7 linked regions of the Macaca mulatta genome follow. The protein of the gene in region 6 purifies or fractionates together with the protein of the main gene of each other region. This does not show direct contact. Links are inferred from orthologs where the notes say so. Each region holds a gene or a part of one and is shown on either strand. Other genes may lie near its edges. The genes, in order: NUFIP2, CNOT1, CNOT11, CNOT2, YBX3, RC3H1 and CNOT9.

What was found.
Region 1: the proteins of RC3H1 (region 6) and NUFIP2 purify together in Homo sapiens (affinity purification with mass spectrometry; 3 studies listed by BioGRID, with this or other methods). This does not show direct contact. The link is inferred for Macaca mulatta from reciprocal best matches to the Homo sapiens genes RC3H1 and NUFIP2.
Region 2: the proteins of RC3H1 (region 6) and CNOT1 purify together in Homo sapiens (affinity purification with mass spectrometry; 5 studies listed by BioGRID, with this or other methods). This does not show direct contact. The link is inferred for Macaca mulatta from reciprocal best matches to the Homo sapiens genes RC3H1 and CNOT1.
Region 3: the proteins of RC3H1 (region 6) and CNOT11 purify together in Homo sapiens (affinity purification with mass spectrometry, with the first as the bait; 4 studies listed by BioGRID). This does not show direct contact. The link is inferred for Macaca mulatta from reciprocal best matches to the Homo sapiens genes RC3H1 and CNOT11.
Region 4: the proteins of RC3H1 (region 6) and CNOT2 purify together in Homo sapiens (affinity purification with mass spectrometry, with the first as the bait; 3 studies listed by BioGRID). This does not show direct contact. The link is inferred for Macaca mulatta from reciprocal best matches to the Homo sapiens genes RC3H1 and CNOT2.
Region 5: the proteins of RC3H1 (region 6) and YBX3 purify together in Homo sapiens (affinity purification with mass spectrometry, with the first as the bait; 3 studies listed by BioGRID). This does not show direct contact. The link is inferred for Macaca mulatta from reciprocal best matches to the Homo sapiens genes RC3H1 and YBX3.
Region 7: the proteins of RC3H1 (region 6) and CNOT9 purify together in Homo sapiens (affinity purification with mass spectrometry, with the first as the bait; 4 studies listed by BioGRID). This does not show direct contact. The link is inferred for Macaca mulatta from reciprocal best matches to the Homo sapiens genes RC3H1 and CNOT9.

Annotation. Positions count from the first base shown.
Region 1 is NC_133421.1:38,007,612-38,011,111, forward strand, and holds part of NUFIP2 (FMR1-interacting protein NUFIP2), read right to left. Parts: intron 3,153-3,500; coding exon 1,428-3,152; exon of another isoform or gene 748-1,427; intron 1-747. UniProt on the Homo sapiens protein: Binds RNA.
Region 2 is NC_133425.1:54,150,435-54,153,934, forward strand, and holds part of CNOT1 (CCR4-NOT transcription complex subunit 1), read right to left. Parts: intron 2,472-3,500; coding exon 2,280-2,471; intron 1,439-2,279; coding exon 1,296-1,438; intron 793-1,295; coding exon 684-792; intron 269-683; coding exon 99-268; intron 1-98.
Region 3 is NC_133418.1:9,406,742-9,411,012, reverse strand, and holds the start of CNOT11 (CCR4-NOT transcription complex subunit 11), read right to left. Parts: upstream 2,801-4,271; 5' UTR 2,722-2,800; coding exon 2,208-2,721; intron 1-2,207. UniProt on the Homo sapiens protein: Component of the CCR4-NOT complex which is one of the major cellular mRNA deadenylases and is linked to various cellular processes including bulk mRNA degradation, miRNA-mediated repression, translational repression during translational initiation and general transcription regulation.
Region 4 is NC_133416.1:77,411,588-77,415,087, forward strand, and holds part of CNOT2 (CCR4-NOT transcription complex subunit 2), read left to right. Parts: intron 1-1,298; coding exon 1,299-1,424; intron 1,425-3,255; coding exon 3,256-3,380; intron 3,381-3,500. UniProt on the Homo sapiens protein: Component of the CCR4-NOT complex which is one of the major cellular mRNA deadenylases and is linked to various cellular processes including bulk mRNA degradation, miRNA-mediated repression, translational repression during translational initiation and general transcription regulation.
Region 5 is NC_133416.1:9,905,425-9,908,924, reverse strand, and holds part of YBX3 (Y-box-binding protein 3), read right to left. Parts: intron 2,674-3,500; coding exon 2,499-2,673; intron 1,911-2,498; coding exon 1,845-1,910; 3' UTR 1,810-1,844; intron 210-1,809; 3' UTR 1-209. UniProt on the Homo sapiens protein: Binds to the GM-CSF promoter. Seems to act as a repressor. Also binds to full-length mRNA and to short RNA sequences containing the consensus site 5'-UCCAUCA-3'. May have a role in translation repression.
Region 6 is NC_133406.1:31,511,238-31,515,488, forward strand, and holds the start of RC3H1 (roquin-1), read right to left. Parts: upstream 2,801-4,251; 5' UTR 2,489-2,800; intron 1-2,488. UniProt on the Homo sapiens protein: Post-transcriptional repressor of mRNAs containing a conserved stem loop motif, called constitutive decay element (CDE), which is often located in the 3'-UTR, as in HMGXB3, ICOS, IER3, NFKBID, NFKBIZ, PPP1R10, TNF, TNFRSF4 and in many more mRNAs.
Region 7 is NC_133417.1:123,823,905-123,827,404, reverse strand, and holds part of CNOT9 (CCR4-NOT transcription complex subunit 9), read right to left. Parts: intron 3,119-3,500; coding exon 3,009-3,118; intron 1-3,008. UniProt on the Homo sapiens protein: Component of the CCR4-NOT complex which is one of the major cellular mRNA deadenylases and is linked to various cellular processes including bulk mRNA degradation, miRNA-mediated repression, translational repression during translational initiation and general transcription regulation.

The sequences.
Region 1 (3,500 bases), on a different chromosome or scaffold from region 6:
GTGTACTAAAAATACAAAAATTAGCCAGGCGTGATGGTGGGCGCCTGTAATCCCAGCTATGTGCGAGGCTGAGGCAGGAGAATCGCTTGAACCCGGGAGGCAGAGGTTGCAGTGAGTCAAGATCACGCCACCGAACTCCAGCCTGGGAGACAAGAGCGAGACTCCATCTCAAAAAAAAAAAAAAAAAAGAAAAGAAAGAGAGTTACTAGCGTGAAACTTGAAAGATATCTCGTTCCCTTTAAACTTGGGCTTTGGGGCTATAGAAAGGAGACTCCCAAGAGCCTGGTCTTGATTATGCTTATCATGCTTGACATTGTAATTTGTCTAACTTATTTTCTAGTTACAAATTGGCATCCATTACTCCTTTTAAGACTTATCAGACTCCTCTTCAAAAATAGTGCTTCTACTCATTTTAAGCAAATTAGAACTACTAAATGAGCTCACTAATAAAGAAGCATATGATACAAAAAGCAAAGGAGAAGCTGGGCGCAGTGGCTCACACCTGTAATCCCAGCACTTTGGGAAGCAGAGGGAGGCAGATCACGAGGTCAGGAGTTTGAGACCAGCCTGGCCACCATGGTGAAACCAGTCTCTCCTAAAAATACAAAAATAAGCTGGGCATGGTGGCACATGGCTGTAATCCCAGCTACTCGGGAGGCTGAGGCAGGAAAATCACTTGAACCCAGGAGGCAGAGGCTGCGGTGAGCCAAGATCCCACCACTGCACTCCAGCCTGGGCAAGAGAGACTCCGTCTCAAAAACAAACAAGAAGCTGGGCGCGGTGGCTCACACCTGTAATCCCAGCACTTTGGGAGGCCAAGGCAGGTGGATCACAAGGTCAAGAGATTGAGACCATCCTGCCAACACGGTGAAACCCCATCTCTACTAAAAATACAAAAACTAGCCGGGCGTGGTGGCACGTGCCTGTAATCTCAGCGACTCAGGAGGCTGAGGAAGGAGAATCGCTTGAACCTGGGAGGTGGAGGTTGCAGTGAGCCGGGATTACACCACTGCACTCCAGCCTGGCAACAGAGTGAGACTCCCTCTCAAAGAAAAAACAAACAAAAAGCAAAGGAGAAACAAAAAAGCAAAGGAAAGAGAACATATGTTCAATAAAATTTTTTTTAAAGCACTCGGTCAAAAGAAAATATAACATCAACACCTTTAAGCAAGTTCTCCTCACTTCTTTGAACCAGGTAGATCAATTATGTTTGTATTTTTAAAAACCATTTTAAGTTGGAAAAGTGAACATTTCTTCTAAGTTTTAATCATACTAGTTCCAAAGACCCTGAATCAGTTTGATGTTAGTTGCTTATCCACATTGTCATTCTCTTAAAATACTCTTAATATGAACAACTAATTCTCTTAAAATTCTTAATATACTAAATTGGCCAATAAAAATCTTTGCATAGGAAACAAATGAGTTACCTTTAGTGTGATATACAATAGCAGCCCTCAGGTCAAATGAACCCCAGCTATCATTCCTTTCTAGGCCTCTCTGGTATCTCTGTTCTTTGGCAGAGCCTAACAAAGTGTTCGTAGGAGAGGCCAGAGGATTTTGATTTTCTATCTCGTAGTCCTTTGAGAGAAACACTAAAGCACCTTGACTACTGGTGTCTGCTTTCTGCAGGTCACCTATATGACTGGGTTCCAAGGATAAGGCTCCACTCTCACTAGTAGTCCCAGATTTTAGAATGCTACCCAGAACTTGAGGACTAGTCCGTTTCTCCAGCTCATAAGCCTTGGGAAACACAGGATGCTCAGTTCCTGAGGGAATTATTTCAGCACCCTGTGAAACCAAAGTGGCAGGATATTCTCCTTGAAATGTCACCTCCATCACTTTATGCTCTGATGACTTCCCAATAACAGTCTCAGGGCCAGCACTGGGCTCATTTATAAATGATAAACCCCACTGATTCTGGAAGATATCCCCCAGGTTTTGCTGATCTGTCTGAGAGGGCAGATCCACTTGTGCTGTGCTCAACAGCATAGTTTGCATATTTGAAGGATAGATAAAAAGGCTAGTCTTAATTTGTTCAACAGCTGCTGAAGTTAGACTCATGTCCTGGAGAACTGAATCTGTCCCAGAAGAGACGGGTGTTAGAGTATTAGCAGCAGTAGTTAGCAGTGGCTGACCCCCTGGAGGATAAACATTTGCATCAGTTCCTGCTAAAACAGGCCCATTAGAAAAGTTGGCAGAAGTAACAGATTTCAGCGCTGACATAGGGACCTGGGACAAGCGACTTGATGATTGGGTCTGAGTTTCCCCAGTAGATGATGATGATGATGAAGATGAAGTTGGTGACACAGAAGAGTTTTGTATAGTTTTGTTGAGGTTTTCCTTAACTTTGCTTGCATAACTTATTTTAGGAACTATTTTAGCACTGCTATTGTCCACTGGAAAAACTGGGGGTGGTTTAAATAGGGTCCATGAGTCCTCTTTGGAGGCAACAGCTGAAGCATGCTTTCCTTTGGGCCGATCATCAAACTTTTTGCTGCTCACACCAGGTTTACTATCTGAGCTTTTCCGAAGCATATCACCCACAGCAGGTTTTCCTCGACTTGTTCCTCCAGGCCCAGTTTCATACTTCCAAATGGGCTTCGAACCATCTACTCGATTTCCCTTTTGTTCACTATAGTCAGGCTTGAAAGTTTCAAGTCCCTGTTTTAAGGTTGGGACAGTGGTCTCTTGTTGCATTATTTTGTCCTGTACTATATTAAGGTTTTCACAACCCTTAGCACTATTGCGCCTAGCTTTCCTTTTTTTAGGAGTTGTATATCCACTCTCAGATCCACTACCATCATTATCTGCTCCTTTACCCATATAACCATTAGTAATATAGCCAGAATTATTTGTTACCACACCATTTGGAATTGGTATAGTATCAGACTTATCTACAGACTGGTTCTCTCCAGATTTATTTTCATAAGACTTTCCATTCTTTTTGTCCATACTGTTTTTCTGAATGTAATTCTTGGTTTTAATTCCTGCTTTCCCAAAGGTGTTGGCCTTTACAGTCTGCTTCAGGCTAGTGTCTACAATTTGCTGGTTGCCATTGAGGACCCTGGAAATAGGGTTGGTGGCTTCATCAGAACTCAGGTTCTTTAAAGAGATTTCTCTTTCTCCAGCATTACCGTTTAGTTCACCATAGCCTAGGGGAGGGAAAAAAACGGTTTATTAAAAAAAAAAAAATCACAACATGTAAATTACACTAATACCTAACATTTAAGAAATGTTTATTTACTGTATGCTAGACACTATGCTATGAACTGTAGCTTTATATTATTTCACATCTGTATGAGAAGACACTTGTCAGCCCCATTTCACAGACTAGGAAATGCAATCTACTGCTAAGCAAAGCAAGAGGTAGAACTGAGCCAAAATTCAAAGCAAAGTCTGAGGCCAGAAAAAAAGACCTCTTAAGCAGTATGCCAAATACCTCTCATCTAACAAAATCAATCTACCCATCACTCTCACAAGGCTGTTATAAAATTTTCTTT
Region 2 (3,500 bases), on a different chromosome or scaffold from region 6:
CAGTTTTAACAAGTAATGTTAGTAAGTCTGCACATTCATCCCTAAAGATATTAGGAGACTACTAAATGCACAGGGATCTCAAAGTGTTTAATCCTCACCCTTCTGGAGCATTGCCTCTGGAATGAGCGTTAATCCTCATGAGGGTTTCAATGGTGTGGAACAGATCTGCCTCAGTAACATGAGCAACACTCCTTTCATCCACCAGCAGGATTTTTACCAATTGCATAGCGAATGCCACAGCCATGTAGTTTAAGCCATTCTCCATTGACTGGCAACACAGAAAACACAACGTAAGAGGGAAAACACTTAAGAGCAAACATACGGCCGGGCGCGGTGGCTCAAGCCTGTAATCCCAGCACTTTGGGAGGCCGAGGCGGGTGGATCACGAGGTCAGGAGATCGAGACTATCCTGGCTAACATGGTGAAACCCCGTCTCTACTAAAAATACAAAAAACTAGCAGGGCGTGGTGGCGGGCGCCTGTAGTCCCAGCTACTTGGGAGGCTGAGGCGGGAGAATGGCGTGAACCCAGGAGATGGAGCTTGCAGTGAGCCGAGATCAGGCCACTGCACTCCAGCCTGGGAGACACAGCAAGACTCCGTCTCAAAAAAAAAAAAAAAAAAAAAAAAAGAGCAAACATACTTCCCTGAGTCCTTTTGTCCTTGCAAGTAAATTCCTTCCATACCTGCGCTAGGTGAAGATCATACTGCTGCATATTAACCAAATGATTACGAATTAGCAGCTCCACAGCCTCCACATTATATTTATATTCATCCCGACATTCAATTAGGCACCTAGAAAAAATTCAGTATCTTTACTCATATAGGCTTAACCATACTGTATGTGCCCATTGTACTCAATGGAAATGTGCTCCAAATTAAGAATGCCTTGAGATTCAACTGTAAATCAGTGTCCAAATTGAAAAACAGCCAGTAATGAAATAGAACAGATAGCCCAGGCTTTGCTTTCAAAACCTAGGATACAGAGGATTCCATTTAAGACATTAAAATACTTATACATGAATACCACTTCTGAGAAATCACTGAAACCTTTTAAAACAATGACCTACAATTTATTGCCCAAAATAAGGTACTAGTTTTCTATATCCAACATGGGGAGAAGGTAGAGACCAGATGGAAAACAACTACTTAACAATTCTCACCTCTCAGAAGTAGGAAGTCCAAGTGTCCCATCTACCTACTAGAAAAAAGGGAAACCCCTGGACATAAACAGTACTATCTATGTCAAAAGGCAGTCGCGATCCAATACTCACTACTTTTCGAAGATGGCTACTGACCTTGTGATCTGTTTGTTGCACCATGGGGACCCATATGCCCGGCCATCCTGCAGAGCTTTTAGTACCAAGAGGTGGCATTCCCTGTAGCGCAGCAGCAGGTCAGCATCAGCACCACTTGTGGCATCTAGTAAGCCCTCTACAGCCTATAGGAGAAAGAAAGTGTTCAGACCCATGGAAAATATGGTGCTTGGCCCAACTATCATAGCCAGAAACCAAATCTCAATGCCAAGTACCAAATACCTTCCAAAGCCTCCCTGTCCTTTCCACTCTCCAAACATCCCCTTCAGTTGCCTATCACACACACTCTAAATTCTATCTGGTTTAAGTTCATTCTGTGCTCTTCATTGTCATAAAAGGCTTTGCTGTAGTTAAAACCCAGGGCTCCCTACCTACCCTGATCCAAATTCTTGGATCAACTTGTCCCTCAAAATCTAAAGGGCAGCTGGGCTCAGTGGCTCATGCCTATAATGCCAATGCTTTGGGAGGCTCAGGAGGGAAGGCCACTTGAGCCCAGGAGATTGAGAACAACCTGGGCAACAAAGCAAGACCCGTCTCTACAAAAAAAATTAAAAATTAACTTGGCTTGGCAGTGCGCACCTGTAATCCCAGCTACTCGAGACAGTAAAGTGGGAGGCTCACTTGAGTCCATGATCACGTCACTGCACTCAAGCCTGGGTGACAGAGAGAGACCCTGTCTCTTAAACACACACACACACACACACATACACACAACTGAAGGGCTTTTAAAGTTTCTTCAAATCATATCTCAGGAATATCTTTAAGAAAAAAATAAAGATTTCCAATTTTACCATTCAAAACTTCTATGACTACATTCTACATTGGGAAAAAAAAATCACCTACTTATAGAACTTGATTTATATTATGAAATCTTAAGCTTAACTGTATAAATATGTAGATGGTGGCGGAGGTCAATAAATGTTTACACACCTAGCATTTTCTAAAAGTAATAGCTTAAGAACCAACCTTTTGGAGCAATCCAAGAGCAGCTATGGCATCCCGAGAGTTTCGAGATAAAACTACAACCTCCAAGAGACTTCGAAGAGCCTGAGCTTGAGGGTTCATGGCCAAAGTTGGTGGGATGGCATGTAGATGCTGTTCCAGTTCTGTAATACACTTATCATAAATCTGAGCTACATCATCTGTTGCCCAAGCTTGCTGTTTTAGAGAAGGAAACAACCAACAAGAGACAAAAGAATGTTAAGGTTTTTTATTGACACATGTATCAAATAGAGGTCTATTAGTATGTTTACTCCCTTTTTCTTATTTTTACATTCAAACATGGAGGGCCTCTTCTTTTCCTTCTTCCTGAGCTATTCAGAATTAATACTATCAAGTGGGGCAGTACAAGGTGGCACAAAGGAAGAGGTGTTTCATTTGAGAGAGGAAAACCTGGCAGACAGCAGCATAATCAAGTGATAAAAGAGAGCATTAGTAATAATGGGACAGACTGAGGGCAGCACCACTTGCACCATCTACTAAGCCCTCTACATCCTAAGAAAGTGTTTCAAACCATGAAAAGTATAGTACTCAGTCCAGCTGTCAAAGCCTGATAGGACAGAATAAGAATACAGCATTACTTCTGAGCTATTCCTATTTTTTAAAATGCATTATCTGAATCTAGCCATGAGAATACACTGGACAAATAAATCAAGCCATTTAGAAAATAATTAGCCTGGCCGGGCGCGGTGGCTCAAGCCTGTAATCCCAGCACTTTGGGAGGCCGAGACGGGCGGATCACAAGGTCAGGAGATCGAGACCATCCTGGCTAACATGGCGAAACCCCGTCTCTACTAAAAAATGCAAAAAACGGTGGCTCAAGCCTGTAATCCCAGCACTTTGGGAGGCCGAGACGGGTGGATCACGAGGTCAGGAGATCGAGACCATCCTGGTTAACACGGTGAAACCCCGTCTCTACTAAAAAATACAAAAAACTAGCCGGGCAAGGTGGCGGGCGCCTGTAGTCCCAGCTACTCGGGAGGCTGAGGCAGGAGAATGGCGTGAACCCGGGAGGCGGAGCTTGCAGTGAGCCGAGATCCGGCCACTGTACTCCAGCCTGGGCGGCAGAGCGAGACTCCGTCTCAAAAAAAAAAAAAAAAGCAAAAAAAGCAAAAAAAACTAGCCGGGCGGGTTGGCGGGCGCCTGTAGTCCCAGCTACTCGGGAGGCTGAGGTAGGAGAATGGCGTA
Region 3 (4,271 bases), on a different chromosome or scaffold from region 6:
GGTAGAGATGGGGTTTCATCATGTTGGCCAGGCTGGTTTTGAACTCCTGGCCTCAAGTGATCTGCCTGCCTCGGCCTCCCGAAGTGCTAGGATTGCAGGCATGAGCCACCGCACACGGCTTTACACCCAGTTCTTTAGTAATACCTGGCAGAGTCACTCCTGCCCTCGCACCTGCATCCCTAATCAATATCCAGCAAAAGTATCACTCCTTCCGAGAATCTCTCTGGCTCCATGGGTGGTCCTTCCTTCCTCTGTACTACCCAGCATTACACAATCGCAGTCCTGCCTCAGTTCAGAGTCATCTGAAAAGCATTCTGAAGACATACCCACTAAATGTCTTACCCTAAACAGAAAACAGCAGCAGCTCTGGGAGTGGGGTGTTGGCACTGATATTTTTCTATGTTACCTACACACCATCCCTACCTACTTTAATAATGGTAATAATAGTGGGTAACACTCACAGGTACTTTTATTCTTTGTAACAACTCTACCAGCTGGCAATTGTTACTATTTGCATTTTACAGATGAGGAATCTGAGGCACAAAACGGTTAAATATAATCCATCCATGGATTCTTTCTCTGGCAACTGCCATCCCACCCATGGCAAATCTGTGTGTACAATGCAGTCTACGGACTAGGTGTGGGTTTAGATTCACTGTATATGAGAATGACATTAATAAGTCACAGTTCCCTTGCCTCACTTGTTCTTCAGAATTCAAAGGGCCCTCTGACCTAAATCCCATAGTGTCCCAATCCTCTAATACCAGCACCCCAGGGTGGTGGTTGTCTCTTTGTGTGTGTGTGTGTGTGTGTTTAGAAGCAGGGTCTCGCTGTCACCCTAACTCACTGCAGCCTCAAACTCCTAGGCTGAAGTGATCCTTCTGCCTCAAACTCCTGAGCAGCTGGGACTACAGGTGTGAGCCACCCATGCCCAACAATTTTTATTTTTTATTTTTTGTAGACAGGGTCTTACTATGTTGCCCAGCATGGTTTCAAACTCCTGGCCTCAAGCAATTCCCAACCCCCAACCTCCACCACTTCGGCCTCCAGAAGCGCTGATATTATAGGCGTGAGCCACCTCGCCAGGCCTAGGTGGTGGGTTTTGACCACAAACCTGTGTTACATTCACTTTCTGGGCAGTCACAAGCTTCTTAAAAGCAGGTTAAGTACCTGTACCCTAACGGCATCTCAGCCAATACAAAAGGTTGCCCTTCTTAGATAAGGGCACTACAGGACACCAATCAGAGATCCTGACGGGGTGCCAGGCAGGAACGCTAACTAGAAATGCGGCCCTCCTGTACCATAAAAACAAACTCCTGGTGTCACCTCAAAATCTGCTGCCTTAGCCTTGACTCACTGTATAGCAGGCCCTACCTGTGCTGGTTAAGGAATGTAAGATCAAGCTGTTACCTATCTCTAGCTATGTGCTTCCTCCACTACACTGGTCCCTAAATCCTTCAGGTCCCTTGTCACCACGCCATTTTTGTTTTCTGACTGCAAGTCTTCTCCCAAAGCAAATCCACATAAAGCATCCCCTGTTTGAGCTTAAAAACAAAAAAATGTAGCCTCGCATCCAACCTACTAGTTTGATCTCACCAATGCCACACAATGGTAAATATATTTTACATAATTTATACCATGAATGCACTTTACATAATGTCCAGTAAGTCATGCGTTTCCAATCGCGAGATCATCAATTTGAGACTTTCTATCCTCTGCCCCCATCCCTAACAGGCTAAGGCAGGCGGCTGCAAAGTCTTTAATGGTGTTTCACGTGTATTTCCGCCCACAACTTCTTCAGCTTCTTAGTACTGACTTCTACGTACTCCTTTGAGACTAAAAACCGGGGACAGATCTAGTCTTATCGTTGGTTTTAACTTCACACACCACAGACGGGCTTTCGAAGAACGAACCGTATTTGAGACACTAAACATGTCAAGACCTACACTGAGCTCTATGATGTGATGGGGTGTATAGAGAAATTATTTTCGGTGTCACGAACTTGCAATTAAGCTACCACCTCTCCATTCTTTAGAGTTAAGGCGGGGAGGGAGTGAGGGGCGTGGGAACGCAAAGGGAGGCGGAAAAAGAGGATTATCAGTTCACACGGATAGTTAATTTCCCTTTCAGGTGAGCTCCCAGCAGCGCGGGTGGAAAGCTGCGGAATCTAACGCATTCCACACGGCACAGCTGGCTTCAGCAGGTACCTGAGAGCGGAGGGCGGTCGGGCTCCTGACCGCCGCGGGCGGGCGGCGCGGGGTTGAGCAGGTGCGCGAAGCTGGCGGCGAAGGGGTTTGCGGCCAGCGGCTCGGTGCGGTACATCTCCCAGAGCAGGTAGAGCGCCGTGAGACGCTGCGCCGCGCTGGGCAGCAGGTCCGGCTGCTGGAGCAGCATGACGAGCACCGAACCCAGGCGGAAGTGGTCGGCCTTGCTGAAGTAGTGATGGAAGGCGGTGGACAGGCCCTCGAAGGTGCTGCCGCCGCCCGCCTCCTCCGATATGATGCTGAGCAGGCTCGAGAGTTCCTTCGGGGTCAAGCTCATCCTGCCTGCGGGGCCCCCAGGGCCTCCGCTCCCGGACCCGGGGCCGCTTGCTCCGCCTCTGCCGCCGCCGGAGCCCCCGAAGCCGCTCCTGGACGCCGACCCTGCCGCTTCCCGGGACACTCTTTGCTCCGCGGCGGTGAGAAGCCGGCAAGACGCCGCGCTCGCCCCTCCGCCGGGCATCAACCTCGCTCCCCTTCCCCTCTTCCCGGCCCGAGGGGCCCTGGCGCCGGCTCGCTCCGTCCCCGCGGCCGTAAAGCGCGCTGTTACACGACAGCGTCGCAAACAAAACACGTCGGGGAAACCAGACCGCCGCGGAAAGGGACAGCGCCCAGCGAAAGCGAGGCTGATGGAGCGAAGCCAGGAAGAGGATGCGGAGACGCGGGGTAGGCGGGGCGAATTGGCAGGAAGCGGGGGCGGGGCCCGGGAAGGGAGGCGCGGTGAGAGGTCGGGCTGGCGGCCTTCAGGGCTAGGTCGGCTGAGGTTCCCCGGCAGGAGCGCCCGGGGCCCGCGTGCGTCGGCGCAACTGCAAGCGAAAGCCGCACCTTGGCGGTCCCTAGGACAGTGCCTGGTGCCAGACGGTCCCAGTAAATGCTATCTACGTTATTACTTGCAAAAACGCACCTCGGATGTTAACTATTTTCTTAACATAACATCCATAAGTATTCGTCGTAAAAATATTGTAAAGGCCGGCGGGGCGCGGTGGCGCGTGCCTGTAGTCCCAGCGCTTTGAGTGTCCTAGGCGAGAGGGTCGCTGGAGCCTGGGAGTCCCAGGCTGCAGTGAGCTGTCATCACCACTGCACTCCAGTCTGGGCGCTCTGTCTCAAACATTTTTTTTAATATAGTAAATGAAAAAGATGCCACGCATTTCTCGTAACCACGGTTAATTTCTAGTCTTACACTCTTTTATTGCAGAAATGGAATCGTACTGCGCTATGAGCTTTTTTGTACATGGTTTTTTCCCTCTTAACACGATTTCAAGAACATGTCTCCAGTTAATATTCATGTACAAAATTGTTTGCTGTGCCACGTTTTCCTTAGACTGCCCTAGGGTGCTTATCCTGGGCACTTAGCGGTGCATTAGAAACCCACGGGGAGGCGTTGCAAATACCTGGTCCCACCCCCAGAGATGAGTCAGGTATTAATAAACCCCGCCTCTTCAGGTGAGGCTGAGGTGTAGTCTGGGCTGAGAACCACCAGGTGGCATTTCCCAGACTTGCCCGTCCCTAAACCTACAGAAACGTGCATGTATTTCACCAGTGATTACCACCAGCGATTCTTAATTATCTAGTTAAGCGCCATCTCAATTCTTTTTTAAAACGTATTTTTATTTTATGTGTTTTTGGGGAGAAATTTTATTTTTTTTTTCATCTTTTTAAAACTTGTATTTCAGTAGTTTTGGGGGTACAGGTGGTTTTTGGTTACATGGATAAGTTTTGAGTAGTGATTTCCGAGATTTTCGTGCACCCGTCACCAGAGCAGTGTACACTGTACCTGTCAGGCCTTTGAGCCCAACCCTTCACATATACATCCAGATGGCCTGAAGTAACTGAAGAATCACAAAAGAAGTGAAAATGGCCGGTTCCTGCCTTAACTGATGACATTACCTTGTGAAATCCCTTCTCCTGGCTCAGAAGCTCCCCCACTGAGCACCTTATGGCCCCCACCCCTGCTGGCCAGAGAACAACCCGCTTTGACTGTAATTTTCCACTACTTTTATTGCTCACACAGCT
Region 4 (3,500 bases), on a different chromosome or scaffold from region 6:
ATATGGCAAATTTAAATTCCATCTTGGAGGACCTAAAGATATGTATTAAAAGTTAATATATATTCAAAATGTATAATTAACTTATAATCAAAGAATTTGAGAAATTATAAATTGAAGCAGGATAGAAATTCTTAATTTCTATTGTCTTAATGATAATTTTTTAATTCGAAGTTCTTAAACTGCAGAAATAAATTTATAAACTGCAGTTTTTGTAAACAGCAGGTATGAATGATTTATCCTTTACCCTTGTAATTTGAAATTGTCACCTGTCTTTGAATGTTAATAAATTAATGGTGTCTGTTGGTTTTCTGTCAACGAAGTAATCTTGAGATAACATTTGCTGTTTGAGATTCTTACAATTGTGAAATTTGGAGAAAACTAAAAATTAATTGGGAAATGGCAAAATAAACTGAAAATGGTGAAACAAAAATTAAAGAAAAGCTATAGCGCAGGCTAAAAGAAAGGTAGAAAGTTTTCTTCAAAAATTAAGAACACAAGGTTATAAGAATACTAAAAAGTTAAGAAATTGAGATGATTAAAATAGACAAAGTAGAGAAGTTGGGTTAAATTTTAATTTTTAAAGGAAGCCAGCTGATTGTTTTAACTTAAAATGAACAAAAATACATTTAATTTATTCTATATATATTTATTGAGCGCCTACTGTGTAATAGGTAATATAAACTTCTGGGCTTTGTATCATATTTCTATATTTCCAACCCATTTACCATATATGGGAACCCTACTGCTACCCTTTTGTACCGCACCCGTGTGCACACACATTTGTATATGAACGCAGTCAATTACAGGTGGAAGTCCTCAGGGCTTCTGCGTCACTGCCTGTGTCTCAGCTATCTTTCTGGCCATTTGCAGGAGGCACTATCATTGTCACCATTTGTGTGTAACCGAAGCTTCAAGCATTCTAGATACAACCTCCATCTGAGCATAATGAAAAGACCAGTTATATCATAACAGTCTCCCTCTTGTTAGCTCACACGCTATAATTTTAGGTTACCATCTTCCACGGGGGAAATATATGCTTTTTCTTCTCTTTGTTATATCTCTAGGATTTGAGGTTTTTTATTATGCTGGTTGCGTATTGCTTTGCTAAATTGTTCATGAAATTCTTTGACATGAAATCAATCTGCAAGTATCTTTTGAGCAGCTACATACACCTTGTACAGTGCTGTGCATTATTTAGGAAGAAAGCACAATCATTTCTAATTATATTATAGTTGGTTTTTATAGTCTCTTAAAAATATTTGTAGAATCAGTAACCAGTGTTCGTTCTTATTATTTAGACGGAAGTGAAAATGTGACAGGATTGGACCTTTCAGATTTCCCAGCATTAGCAGACCGAAACAGAAGGGAAGGAAGTGGTAACCCAACTCCATTAATAAACCCCTTGGCTGGAAGAGCTCCTTATGGTAATTAAGCTTTTTAATGATGACCAGTGGGAAGTTTCCATTGTATGTGCACACACACATGCATTTACATGTACATATACATATGTTTGTGTATACGTATATGTTTGCATTTTCTAATCAGGTTAGTGTAATTTTTTCAGAATTGATATATTAAAAGTGATTTTTCTTCCCAGAATACCATGGTAGCAAAGTTAAATGGGAAAACTTTGTACAAAAACCCAAGAGGAAGTCCTCATTGGTATTCAGAAGTTATTTTCTTCTGTTATCCCTGCCTTAGTTTACCTTAGGTGATTTATTTTTGTGGTCTGCCTTTTCTCTCCTTAATTGATCACACATTTTTTCAAAAGAATATATTCCTGGTGATTAATAATGACTGACTATACATTGAAGATGTTTTTCTGAGCCAAGGTTTCTCAACCTCCACACTGTTGACATTTGGGCCAGGTAATTCTTTGTAGAGAGGAGATCTGGGGGGCTGTGGTGTTTATATAGAATGCTAAGCAACATTCCTGGCCTTGGCCTACAAGATGCCAGTAGCACTCTCTGTTTCCAACCCCCACAGCCTCTATTGTGACAGACACAAATGTTTTCAGACATTGGCAGATGTCACCTGGGGAAAAAAAATTGTCCCCTGTTGAAAACCATTGCTCATGGGTCATGTATAGCTTATGCAGACTCTTGGTCTCCATTAATATCCTTCATCACCCTTTTTCACTGTCTGTAATAGATAAGAGATTTGGCTAATCAGGGATAAACAGAAATAAAGGAGGGGAAACATATGCAATAACAGTGTAACAATTTGGGCATGAAAATTCTGTGACAGCAATGTGGCTATACTGTTTTTATCACATAGTTTTTTTCTTTTGGGAAAACCTGATAGAGACCAGTAACAAAACGGTGAATTTAAAAGAATCAGTTCATCCATTATTTTAAGATAGAATTAATATTTGATCACATTTTCAACCAAGAAAGATTTCTGTGCCATTCAGATATGAATACAAATAACAGTATATGAAGAAGGGAAAAATGTATTGTTTATATTCTAAAGTTTCCAAATTAGTCTCCCCAAAATTAAAAGAAAAAATGATCTGCCCTGGAAGTTGAGTACCTAGCTACTTGATTCTCAGTTCAGACTCTAATGTTTTTAACCTTTCCTCATAGGTCCATTTTTTCATCCCTTTAATCATTCCCGTTGCTCTCCTTGGACCATCTCTAGTTTCTCCATATCGTTCTTGAATTGTGGAGCCCCAAACTGGATATTGTTCTCCAATAAGGGCCCGACTAATGCCAAGTATAGTGGGAGGATTATTTCCCAGTTCTTGCATGTTTTACATCTATAACATGGAGTCCAAGAAAATCTGAAATAATATGGAGTTGTTTTATAATTGATTGCAATTTGCTCACTCTGTAAGTCGCTTTCAAGTAGAATACTGACATATTCTTTTAAATTTTATTTTGTTCATTTGTATTTGACAGTTAACTGGTATTTATATCTAGTCAAATATTTAAATAAAACAAGCTTTTAAACCAAAATTGTTAATAATTAATCCAATATCAAATTAAATTTTTAAGCACCTACTACGCATGACAGTAGATGTACAGGATTACTATTGATTTCCCTTGTATTATTTTGTATGTTGAGTTATTAATCAGTAAATGAAAATTTAGTTCTTCATTGTTACCCTGGATACTAATTTTTTGAAGTACGCTTTCATAGCATTAAAAAAAAGAAAACTTTTGGTGTATTATCATGAGGAAAGTTAACTTTATAATCTCTAGCAAAATATCATAAGTATCAATTGCAATTCTCCGGATTATTTTCATTACATAGTTGGAATGGTAACAAAACCAGCAAATGAACAATCCCAGGACTTCTCAATACACAATGAAGATTTTCCAGCATTACCAGGCTCCAGCTATAAAGATCCAACATCAAGTAATGATGACAGTAAATCTGTAAGTAACTGAGAACTATGTGAGTGAGTGATGTAGTTTTTCCCTTCAGATTTCTCTTATATTAACAGTTACTTACTAAATACTGTTACAAAACTGTTTTATCTTGATATCTGTAATAAT
Region 5 (3,500 bases), on a different chromosome or scaffold from region 6:
GTCTTCTGTGCAGGCAGGTTCTCAGCTTGCTGGAAAAATTTGTTGACATTTTCGTTTTGTAGTTGTTTCTTAAAGAATAACAGTAAACATTCCAATGTCCAAATCTTGCTTTGTCTTCCACTTTATTGCTTGAATGTTTCTTTGGTGTTGGTAAGGTTGTGGCCTGCTTTTTGCTTTATTTCTGAATGGTCACTAATTCTTTAGGTCACCTGGGAAAAATTAAAATCAAACTTACAAAGAATGACAAAGTAATCATGAGTAAAAGAATAAAAAGGCAGAAATTATCTGCTTTTCATATAATTAGAAAAAGAGTACTTCAAATGCTCTAAATACAAACACATCTTGTATAGATCTGTAAGCAATATGTTAATTAAATGGAAACTCTCGCTTTTTAATAAAGTATTTTTATAAACCAGAAGTCAGTACATAATAGCAAAAATTTTATAAAATTGTATAAATTAAAATTACCATTACTAATGAACAATACTCAAAATCATTTTAGTGGCTGCACCCTATCTCCTAATATGAAAATACCACAATTAGTTAGCTACTTACCAAATGTCAGACAGACTAAATTGTAAAAATATTTTTTCCTAATATTTAAAATTATTTCCTTAGAAACAATACCTAGAAATAATGTTACTCCATAAAAGGTTATGATCATTTTTATGATTAATATGCTACTCTAAATCAGTTAATTCCAAGTTTGAATAGGGAACTTATTTCTGTGACAGACTGTCCATGCTACCCAAGATAAAACAGAATATTGCCCTCATAGCAAATGCCTACCTAATCAAAGGCTGATTAAAATCCCACATCATTGGATATAAAAGCAGATGGCCTTAAGACACAAGAACTTATAATAATCCCAAAACTTCATTTATGAAATGTTAACAATTTTTGAAAAACAGCATTGACACCGAGTTTACAACCTCTCTCTTAACTAAAAGCTAATGGAAAGGGTGATAACCAAGAAGTATAAGAACTAAAGTCTCAGTTAAAAGGGTTATAGGAGGGAAAAAAAAAAGCCCAGAACTTATAATTGAGTTGATCTTTCTAGCTACAATCCTTTCTATGTAAATAAAATGTCCAAGATCTTTAAAAGACAGAAAAAAGTAGAAAATGACAAGAAAATAACAAGCTATCCTTTTATGAGAGGTTATTCTTTACCATACCCTATTGTAAACACTTCCTGTTATTTCACTTAATAATCCCTGCAACAACCCTAGTAAATATAATTAGTATCCTAATTCTTACCAGTAGCAGACAGTACTGAGACAGAGGATAAACTGCTCAAGATCACCCAGCAAATGAGAGGTGCAGTAGAGCCTGCATTGGATAGAAAAACCTTGGCTCTTATACATTATGCTGCACCGCCTCAAAATAAATAAAGTTGATTATCAAACGAAAAGGGAAGGAAAAAAAACCTTTAGTTTATTCTACTGTTTCTGATTACTTAACAGGTTCTGAAACTGTTTCTGATTACTAAAACCAGGCCTTTGTTAGCAACTTTCAGCATCAGTTTTCCTAAGTGGTACTGGCAGTTAAAAAACTGCCTGTCTAGAAAAAAGAAGTTGAGTATCATCAACTCCGTCTGAATGCTTATACCCTCACCAAAGCTTATCAAAATGAGGTCAATCCCAGAAATATTTAACCACCAAATCACTCTTGCCACAGAATCCCAACAGAGACAAAGAGTTGGCACAGATGAACTGCAGAACTAGTTTAGACTAATTTGTACTCTTGTTGAGAAACCAGTAATACTAAACAGAAAATACCAACTCAAGACTGGGCTGCCCCAGCGCTTACCCTGCCGATGGTGAAGGTGCCTGGGGAGCCTGGTGTTACTCAGCACTGCTCTGCTGGGTGGGTGGAGCGGGGTTCTCAGTTGGTGCTTCACCTGCCTTGGCCTAAAATGCAAAACAAAGCCATAAATCAGATAAAGTCACATGACAGTGGAAAGTTCAAGACTGAAAGTTCTTCAAAGTTTGAATTTTCCTGTAAAGGAAAATTAGCATGCAAAAAATTACTCTTATGTATGAGTCACAAATTAGTACCATATTCAGTCCCTGGCATTTCTACCAAAACAAAACAAAACCAAAACCCCACAAAAACAAAAAACAAAACAAAATTAGTACCATAGAAGAACAGCTTACAAACGGCAAACTAAATACCGCTACTCTCCATGAAGTCTGTGACATACAACTGCTTTCAACTCGTGTTTAGAGGCAGCTTCCTCTCGATTAATGCCTCTCTTATTTGAAGAGCCCTAAATGTATGAGCTCTGAATCCCCATTAGTATGGGTCATTCTTTCAGAGAATGTTAACTGGATTCAAATATTTGGTCTGTGTTATGTGCAAGGCACACCCTATATATACAGATCTTGAGCAAAATGTTTTTGTATTTGTTAAGTGTCAAGTTATCATGTGATAAAACCACTCTTAGAATGCTAGTTTGACATGATTAAAGACAATCCACCCTGACTGGTTGGATTGACCTCTTTGCCATCTTGTGAAGGAGCGTTAGGAAGACGCGGGCGACGCCGGTAATTGTAGGGACGCCGGTATCCACGGCGAATTGACGGCTGGTTTGGACCACTGGAGGCTTGCTGATTTTCTTTATCTTCAGCCTCTCCAACTGCTGGGGCAGGTCGTGGGCGAGGAGGTCCTCTGCTGGAGGGAACACAGGACAAAAGAGAACAAGTGCCAATAGAACAAAATAGAACAAGTGCCAATGGGACAGGGCTTCTCCAGAAAATAATGTTTTATTTATTTTTAAAAATTAAGAAGTCAAGTGATCAGGACCAGGCGTGGTGGCTCACCCCTGTAATCCCAGTACTTTAGGAGGTTGAGGCAGGCGGATCACTTGAGGTCAGGAGTTTGAGACCAGCCTGGCCAACGTGGTGAAACCCCATCTCTGCTAAAAATATAAAAATTAGCCAGGTGTGGTGGCATGTGCCTATAATCCCAGCTACTTGGGAGGCTGAGGCAAGAGAATTGCTTGAATCCATGAAGCAGAGGTTGCAGCAACCAGAGACTGTGGCACTGCACTGGAGCCTCGGCAACAGACGGAGACTCCATCTCAAAAAAACAAAATAAACAAAACAAACAAACAAAAAAAGTCAAGTGATCAGTACTTATTGCTAGAATTATTCACAGGCCAGTGCAGCAAAAGGAATCGAGGTTTCATGAAATAAAAAAAAAAAACAAAACAAACAAAAAAACACATTTTCCATCATTTTCCCCTTTCATTTGAATACCTATTTGCAGTGCACATACACATACTGAACACATACTCTGTTCCTATCAGACCCTTTGATAAGCACTAAGAATAGGAAAATTAAAAAAGAGAAGAAGAGTAGTCTGGCATCTGCCTTCCATGAACAGAATTTAGTAGAGACTAAGGGAATTAAACATGAAAAGAAACAATATTATGTGTCAGAGTCTGTGCTAGTCGGTTTTCAAATTAAATATTTAATTTGAATGGTAATTCTGTGGAT
Region 6 (4,251 bases):
TTTTTAATATTACTAAGAAAATATAAATCTAATTCTTAAGCTCTGGTCCCAAAACTTCTTAGAAGTAAATTTTTATTACTTGAGAAAATCTGAACTTAAGTAATAAGTATTGACACTGAAGACGGGACAATTGAGGGATCACATCTTAAAACTGTTTTGACATAAAATGAATAAAAACAATTCCCTAAATTTTTTCCTATTAAACAAATAAGGACCCAGACTAAGCCCATAAATTGCTGGGTCAATAACCAATCTCAAATACAAAACCTTACCACTTAAAAATACTTATTTTCAGGAAAATGATAATAAATATGAGGTAAATCTGCCCTTGACATAACACGGTGAGATTTTTTTTCATAACACAGTACATGAACCACTTAAAACTTACAAGCTATCAATTACTACAATTGTTCTAATAGGTTTAGGGCCAAACATAAATTTAACTATCATTATAACATGGACTTGGAATCTGTGCTGACCTAACAAAATTTAGCACAGAAAAAAAAAATCACAGATCTGAGCATCTGAAAAACGGTGTCTTTTCTGAAATGTTTGCAAAAAAGTCACAACATCAGGAGCCACAGAAAGTTGTTCTTTCTCCGTCACTCAAAAAATCAAAACATCTCCAACATTATTTATGCTAGGCATAAAATGAAAGTCAGTATTGATATTCACTCACTATACTTCAAATCCTAACCAAGATAATTCAACCTCTATGTTTATTCAATTGCTAGTCTATTCAGTATCAATTGTTGTGGAAGAACTAAGAGGTAGACTAGTGCTGCTTACTAGACTTCATGTAACCTGAAAATGTTTTTAATTATAACAGACTTAGACCAATTCTACTTAGAAATGTACCCTTAAAAGAGGTGAAAGACATTAACTGGCATCTTTTCAGCACAGGTCAGTCTTCCTTAAGAACACAACCTATAACCCTTAGGCCTTACAGTTGAATGTTAACAAGTGAAAAGCAATTTCCTTGGATGTATCCAAGCAATTTTAATATAAATTTCTGCATACCTAGGTAGAAAGTACTTTAGAAATAACTTAAATCTACCTTTTCCCTCACTTGTAAGAAAATGTGGTAGAAGCCTTGAAAAATTAAGTTTAAGGCTCAGGCCTGTAATCCCAGCAATTTAGGAGGCTGAGGCGGGCAGATGACTTGAGGTCAGGAGTTCCAGACCAGCCCGGCCAACATGGTGAAAACCCCGTCTCTACTAAAAATACAAAAATCAGCCAGGCGTGGTGGCGGGCGCCTGTAATCCCACCTACTCCGGAGGGTGAGGCAGGGGAATCGCTTGAATCCGGGAGATGGAGGCTGCAGTGAGCCGAGATTGCGCCACACACTCCAGCCTGGGTGACAAGGCAAGACTCCGTCTCAAAAACAAAACAAAACAAAACAAGAACAAACAAAAATGAAATCAAATTTCTAACTCAGAGAAAAGACTGGTCTTGAACAATTTAGGGACAAATTACTGAAACAGGAGACAAGGCACAAGAAGCTCTATGGCTGGAGATGAACCACCTCTGTGTCTCCTTTAGAAGTGCTTCCTGAGGTCCACTTTACGCTAGTTAATGTTGCTTCTTATACTGCATGTTAGTAATTTAAAACGCCTAGCTGGAATAAAAGTTCTCTTTAAACATTACAATTTGTCTCCGCGTTGAAAGTTAAGTGTTTGTCTCCAGTTTCATGGGCTATTCTGATATGTCAAGAGTAGTATTATTACTGTTCCAAAAGAGCTCTTGTTTCAATTCACTTTCAACTGGGGCGCGGGCATAACTGATGTTTACAGAACTGATGCTTAGAGATGTTTAGAGAGGCGCATCCCTTACCATTCCATCCTTTATCGATAACCATATTTTGTATGTTTTTGTTGCATTTCAGTTTTTTTTTTTTTAAGACACCTGCACACACACAATTTTCCCACCGCCAGGAGGGAGAAGACCACAGGCTAGGTCTCCAGGGGCTTCAGGGAAACAGACACCGTGAACCCCGCTTGGCCAAAGAGGGGGAGCGCTTCAGGGGCTGGGGGAGGGAGCAGCCCTAAGGTGCTGGGAGTCAGAGGCGGCGCCTGTTTACAGACGCCTTCGCCCTCCCCCACCCCCACAGAGGAGGGGTCCAAAAAGCAGTTCCCGTGCGCACTCCCCGACTGGCCCAGGCCCTGGCAGCACCAGAGGAGCCAGGCAGCCCTTTCGCCCCCTCCCTCTAGTCCAAGCCTCCCTTCGCCCTCCTCTCGGCCTACCTACCCCTACAGGCCCTCCAGGCGGCATGCAGAGGCCTGAGGCCTAAAGGACGCCGGCCACTGACAAGCCCCAGAGCAGCCGGCGGGGGCCCTGAGGAGCCTGGGGCCGGCCGGGCGGCCGCTGCGGCGGGGAGCAGAGGGCGGGCGAGGACAAATCCTTCCCGACCACAGCTGCCTATTGTTCCCGACGGAGGCCCCGGCCGCGGCAGCCCCGCTCCCCAAGTCGCCGCCCGCCGCTCGCTCACCGCGCTGGTCCGAGCAGCAGCTCCTCTCAGCTCCGAGTCCCCGCGGCCGTCGCCACCGCCGCGGCAGCCGCCGCCGCCGCCGCTGCCACCGTTGACTCTGATTCTGTCCCAGGCCGCCGGGCCACGGCTGCCGCCGCCACCGCCAGCACCGCCTCCGGCCTCCCACCTGCTGCTGCTGAGGCTGCTCCTGCAGCAGGGGCCATCTTGTTGGTCTGCCTCCTCTTCCTCCTCCTCGTCCTCCGCCGCCCAGTCGCTCGTTGTCCTCGTCCCCTTCCTCTTCCTCAGGCTCCGGCCCGCCCCGGAGACTGGGGCGGAGACGAGGGCGAGGATCCTCCCTCAGAAGGCGGGGCGGGCGGAGGGGCGGGGCGGGCGCGGGAGCAAAGCTCTGAGTCACCGGCCACCAACGCCCGGGAGGGAGGCCGGCGACGCTCTCCGCCGCGACCCAAAGTCTCACACTCCCTGAGCCGAGGAACCGGTCCCTCCGTCCGGCCTGCCCTCCCGCACCGGCGCCTTTGGGCTCAGCGGGCCAGTGGCCAGATGGCGAGAGTAAATTGGAGGAATTTCTGTCGTTTCCATCGAACCCCGCAATACGTCTACTCTTTTGGCTTTCTCAGCCGTTGTCCCCCAACTCTGGTTTCTTTTTCACGTCTTGTCCCCCACCCCATTTGTCTTCTTCCATATTATCTAGGTTCTGGATCTCATCAGCTTTGTCCTCGTCACCCCTCTTGGAGTTCAGCCTCCTAAGGCTGTGAAACAGCCCAAAGGCCCGGACACGCTACTCCAAAACGTCTCTCCTGGGCTGTGTGAACAATAAGAGCTATTTGGGGACGACAGGAAAAGATGTGGCTCGTCGAAGAGCTCCTGAAATCTAACCTTGCTACTCTTTAAAAGTTTCTTGTCCCTTGTGGAAAAGGTGCCGTTTTGGTTTTGGGGAATGAGAGGTCCCTTCAGACAATTCATTTTAGCCAAACCCTCTTTAGCTTTTGAGAGGGGGAAGAAATGGGATTATCGTAACACCATACAGTACTGATTTCAAAATAAATCATCTAGAAGAGAAGAGAGAGAGAGAGAGTCCCCAAATAAACAACCATTTAATACTCTCTACTCGGCAGCATCACCTTTTTTGCTTCAGGACTTGACCAAGAGAGCAGAGATTATGTTTTTCTGTCCTTTCTTCACTGTTTACATCACAGTACCCCAAGAGAAGCACTTCTGCCTTTAACTTGATACATTGGAATCGCTATCACAGATAGTATTTTTGTATTATTTTAAAGAAATATCACACACCTTCCTAAACTCTTGGCAGAGAAGAATTCTTTTTAGTTGTTAACACCCTCCTGCTCCTGAAATCTCAGCTTCTGTTTAGAAGACCTATTGATGTCTTTCTATTGATTGGAATTTGCTGCCTTTGAACTGGGTTTAATCTGTAATCGTCTTTTCAGCCTACTAAATAGTAACCCTAGTCCTACAGAGAGTGAATTTCTAGCTACCATAGGGGGATTTAGGTTAGCATGTGCCAATCTAAAGGGATCTCTTAAAGCCTTTCCCTCCTCAAACCAGGCCTCTGTACCCTGCTAGGAAAAACAGATTAATCTGCTCCTCCTGCTTTTCCTCCTCCTCCCTTCTTCTCACTCCTAGGGAACCTTCCACAACAGAAGGTTTTAGCGACTGTTGCTAGGCAAACATGCCAACTTCCTTGTTTAGGTGAAGCAAGTAACTCAACTTCCATTACAAGCAACCTAGATAATGTAATTTCTTCCCCC
Region 7 (3,500 bases), on a different chromosome or scaffold from region 6:
GAATCTATAGATCACTTTGTGGAGAACGAACAACTTAACAATACTGAATCACTGATACACCAATCAATGAACATGGTTTATCTCTGCATTTTATTTCATTAGAAATCAGTTTTGTAGTTTTCAGTTATAGATCATGAATATATTTTAAAAGATTTATACCCAAATTTTCACGTTTTGGTGCTGTTATAAATGGTAGTTTAAAAAAATTTCAGCTGGGTGCAATGGCTCACAACTGTAATCCCAGCACTTTGGGAGGCCAAGGCAGGAGAACCATTTGAGCCCAGAAGTTTGAGACAAGCCTGGGCAACAAAGTGAGACCTTGTCTCTACAAAAAAATAAGAAAATGTAGCCAGGTGTGGTGCCATGTGCCTATGGTCCCAGTTTCTCAAGGCTGAGGTGGGAGGATTTGTGTGATTCCAGGAGTTTGAGGGTGCAGTGAGCCATGATCATGCCACTGCACTCAAAAGTGAGGCCGGGCGCGGTGGCTCAAGCCTGTAATCCCAGCACTTTGGGAGGCCGAGACGGGTGGATCACGAGGTCAGGAGATCAAGACCATCCTAGCTAACACGGTGAAACCCCGTCTCTACTAAAAAAAAAAAAAACACACAAAAACTAGCCGGGTGTGGTGGCGGGCGCCTGTAGTCCCAGCTACTCTGGAGGCTGAGGCAGGAGAATGGCTTAAACCCGGGAGGCGGAGCTTGCAGTGAGCTGAGATCTGGCCACTGCACTCCAGCTGGGGCGACAGAGCGAGACTCCATCTCAAAAAAAAAAAAAAAAAAAAAAAAAAAAAAAAAAAGGGGGTGACAGAGCAAGACCTTGTCTCAAAAAAAAAAAAAAAAAATCAATTTCCTATTGTTCATTGCTAGTATATAGAAATTTAATTTTAATTTTTATTTTTGAGACAGAGTCTCCCACTGCCACCCAGGCTGGAGCGCAGTGGCGCAGTCTTGGCTCACTGCAATCACTGCATCTCTACCTCCCAGGTTCAAGCAATTCTCCTGCCTCAGCCTCCCCAGCAGCTGGGACTATAGGCACATGCCACCATGCCCGGCTAATTTTTGCCTTTTTAAATTCTTTTTCAGTAGAGATGGGGTTTCACCATGTGGGCCAGGCTGGTCTTGAACTCCTGACCTCAAGTGATCTACCCGCCTCGGCCTCCTGAAATGCTGGGATTACAGGTATGAGCCACCATGCCCGGACTTGATTGATTTTTTATATGCTGACTTTGTATCCTGCAACCTTGCTAAACTTACTAGCTTTAGTTTTAGTAGTTTTTTTGTAGATTATTTGGGATTGTCTATGAAATAATATTGTCTGTGAGTAGCTAGTACTGTTTTTTCTTTCTAATTTGAAGGCTCTTTATTAAATGGGAGTAGTGAGAATGAACATCCTTGCTTTGTACTTGATCTTAGGAAAAAAGTATTCAGTTTTTCAACATTAACTAAAATTTTTTCATGCTCAAGTTAATGTTTTTATATACATTTACTACGGGAGATAAGGGTAAACATTTTTTACTTAAGAAAATAATGTATCAGCTATTTCAGCTCTCAGACTCCTGGGTAGCAAAGAACTATCTCTGGGCTTATGAAATGTTAATCCATTCAAGCATTTTTTTTGTTTTGTTTTCTTCCTTTCTCAATGCTTTTTTCTTAAAATTATAAACCACAATCAGGAAATACAATTTAAAACTTTGGCATGTAAGGAGTAACAATTGTCTCATATACTCAACGTAATCCGAGCCTAAAGAAAACATTTATATCCTTAACTCATAAATGTATCATCTAAGTAGGATGATATAAGTTAGGGTTAAGGATATAAATGTTTTCTCAGTCAGTCTGGTTAGAGCTTTATCAATTTTACTGACTTTTCCCCAAAGACTCAGCTTGTCTGGTTTTATTAACAGTCTAATGCTGGTCTCACAAAGAGTTGAGAAATGTTCCCTCCTTTCTATGTTCTGGAAAAGTTTTGTAGAATTGGTTTATTTCTTCTTTATGTATTTGGTAAAATTTACTAGTGAAGACAGGTGAGCCATTTTTATGTTAGAAGGTTTGCAACTACAAAAACAATGTATTTCATAGATATAAAACTATTCAGCTTACCTGTTTTTTCTTGAGTGCAATTTGGCAAATAGCATCTTTCAAAGAATGTTTTCATTTCATCTAAGTTGTGAAATTTATGAGTATGGAGTTGTAAGCAGTATTCCCTTACTTTCCTTTTAATGTCTGAAGAGTCTGAGATCTGAAATTGCTGATATATTATTTTAAGTAAAAAGTATTTTATCCATACCCCCACAGTAAATGTATTTATACATTAACTTGAGCATGAAAAAATTTAACTAGGTGAACTGACAGATTCATATTCCTGGAGTTATGGGAGAATTACAGGTTTTCAGAATGCTTAGTGTATTTGACATGCACATTCTTAGGGCGTTTCAGATATACGAAGCATTCTGGTATTAGAAGTAAGAAAAACAAACAAAAAAAGACAGGGGTGTGTGCCTGTGCCCATGGTCCCTATTACTTGGGAGGCTGAGGCAGGAGGATCACTTGAGCCTAGGAGTTCAAGTCCAGCCTGGGTAACACAGCAAGACCCTATCAGGAAGAGAGGACAGGAGAGGGAGAGGGCGAGGGCGAGGGTGAGGGCGAGGGCGAGGGTGAGGGCGAGGGTGAGGTCAAGTCCCAAATGTAAACTCTTATTCCTTTAATAATACTCTTTATATACTGAATCGAGTTCTTATGCTTTACTCTCCCTGCAATTCCAGCAAATGTTTCTACATATATGCTGAATTTAATACCAAAGGTTAGATCTCAAAGCCTTATTAACAACACTTAGAAGTGTGCCTGATAGGAGTCATCATGTTCCTGATACTTACTGATTAGTGAATGAGACAATGTCAAAGAGAAAAATGAATGACTGGTGTACAAAAATCATGAGCGGCAAGACAAAACACCCAACTTAGACTACTACTGTGAGTATTTCAGGCTTGCAAAACAATTCTAATAACTTACCAATAACTCCAAGGCTGGTGAGCCGAAGATACTCAAAGGGACGTGTTTTGCTGACAGTGTGCAAAAAGGGGTACAAAAAAAGTGGGATGTGTGCTGCGAGAAACGCTGACCTGGAAGAAAACAATAATTACATTCACAGCCCAGGGTTGATTTCTAAGGATCCTGAACTTTCAAATTTCTAGGTGGTTAATTCTGTAAGGCCTTAACATTGTCAGAGCAAGGAATCCTTAGGAAACAATGTTACTGGTCATTAGTTTCAATCAATGGTTCTCAAATGGGGTAAATTTTCCCCCCATGTGGCAATGTCTGAAGACATTTTTGATTGTCACAACTCAGGATTATAGAGCACTGTTGGCATCCAGTGGGCAGAGGCCAGAGATGCCATTAAACATCCTACAATGCACAGGACAGTCCTCTCCTGCCCTCTCCTTCCCACCACAAAGATTCATCCAGCCCCAAATGTTAATGGTGCAAAAGTTGAAAACCCTAGTC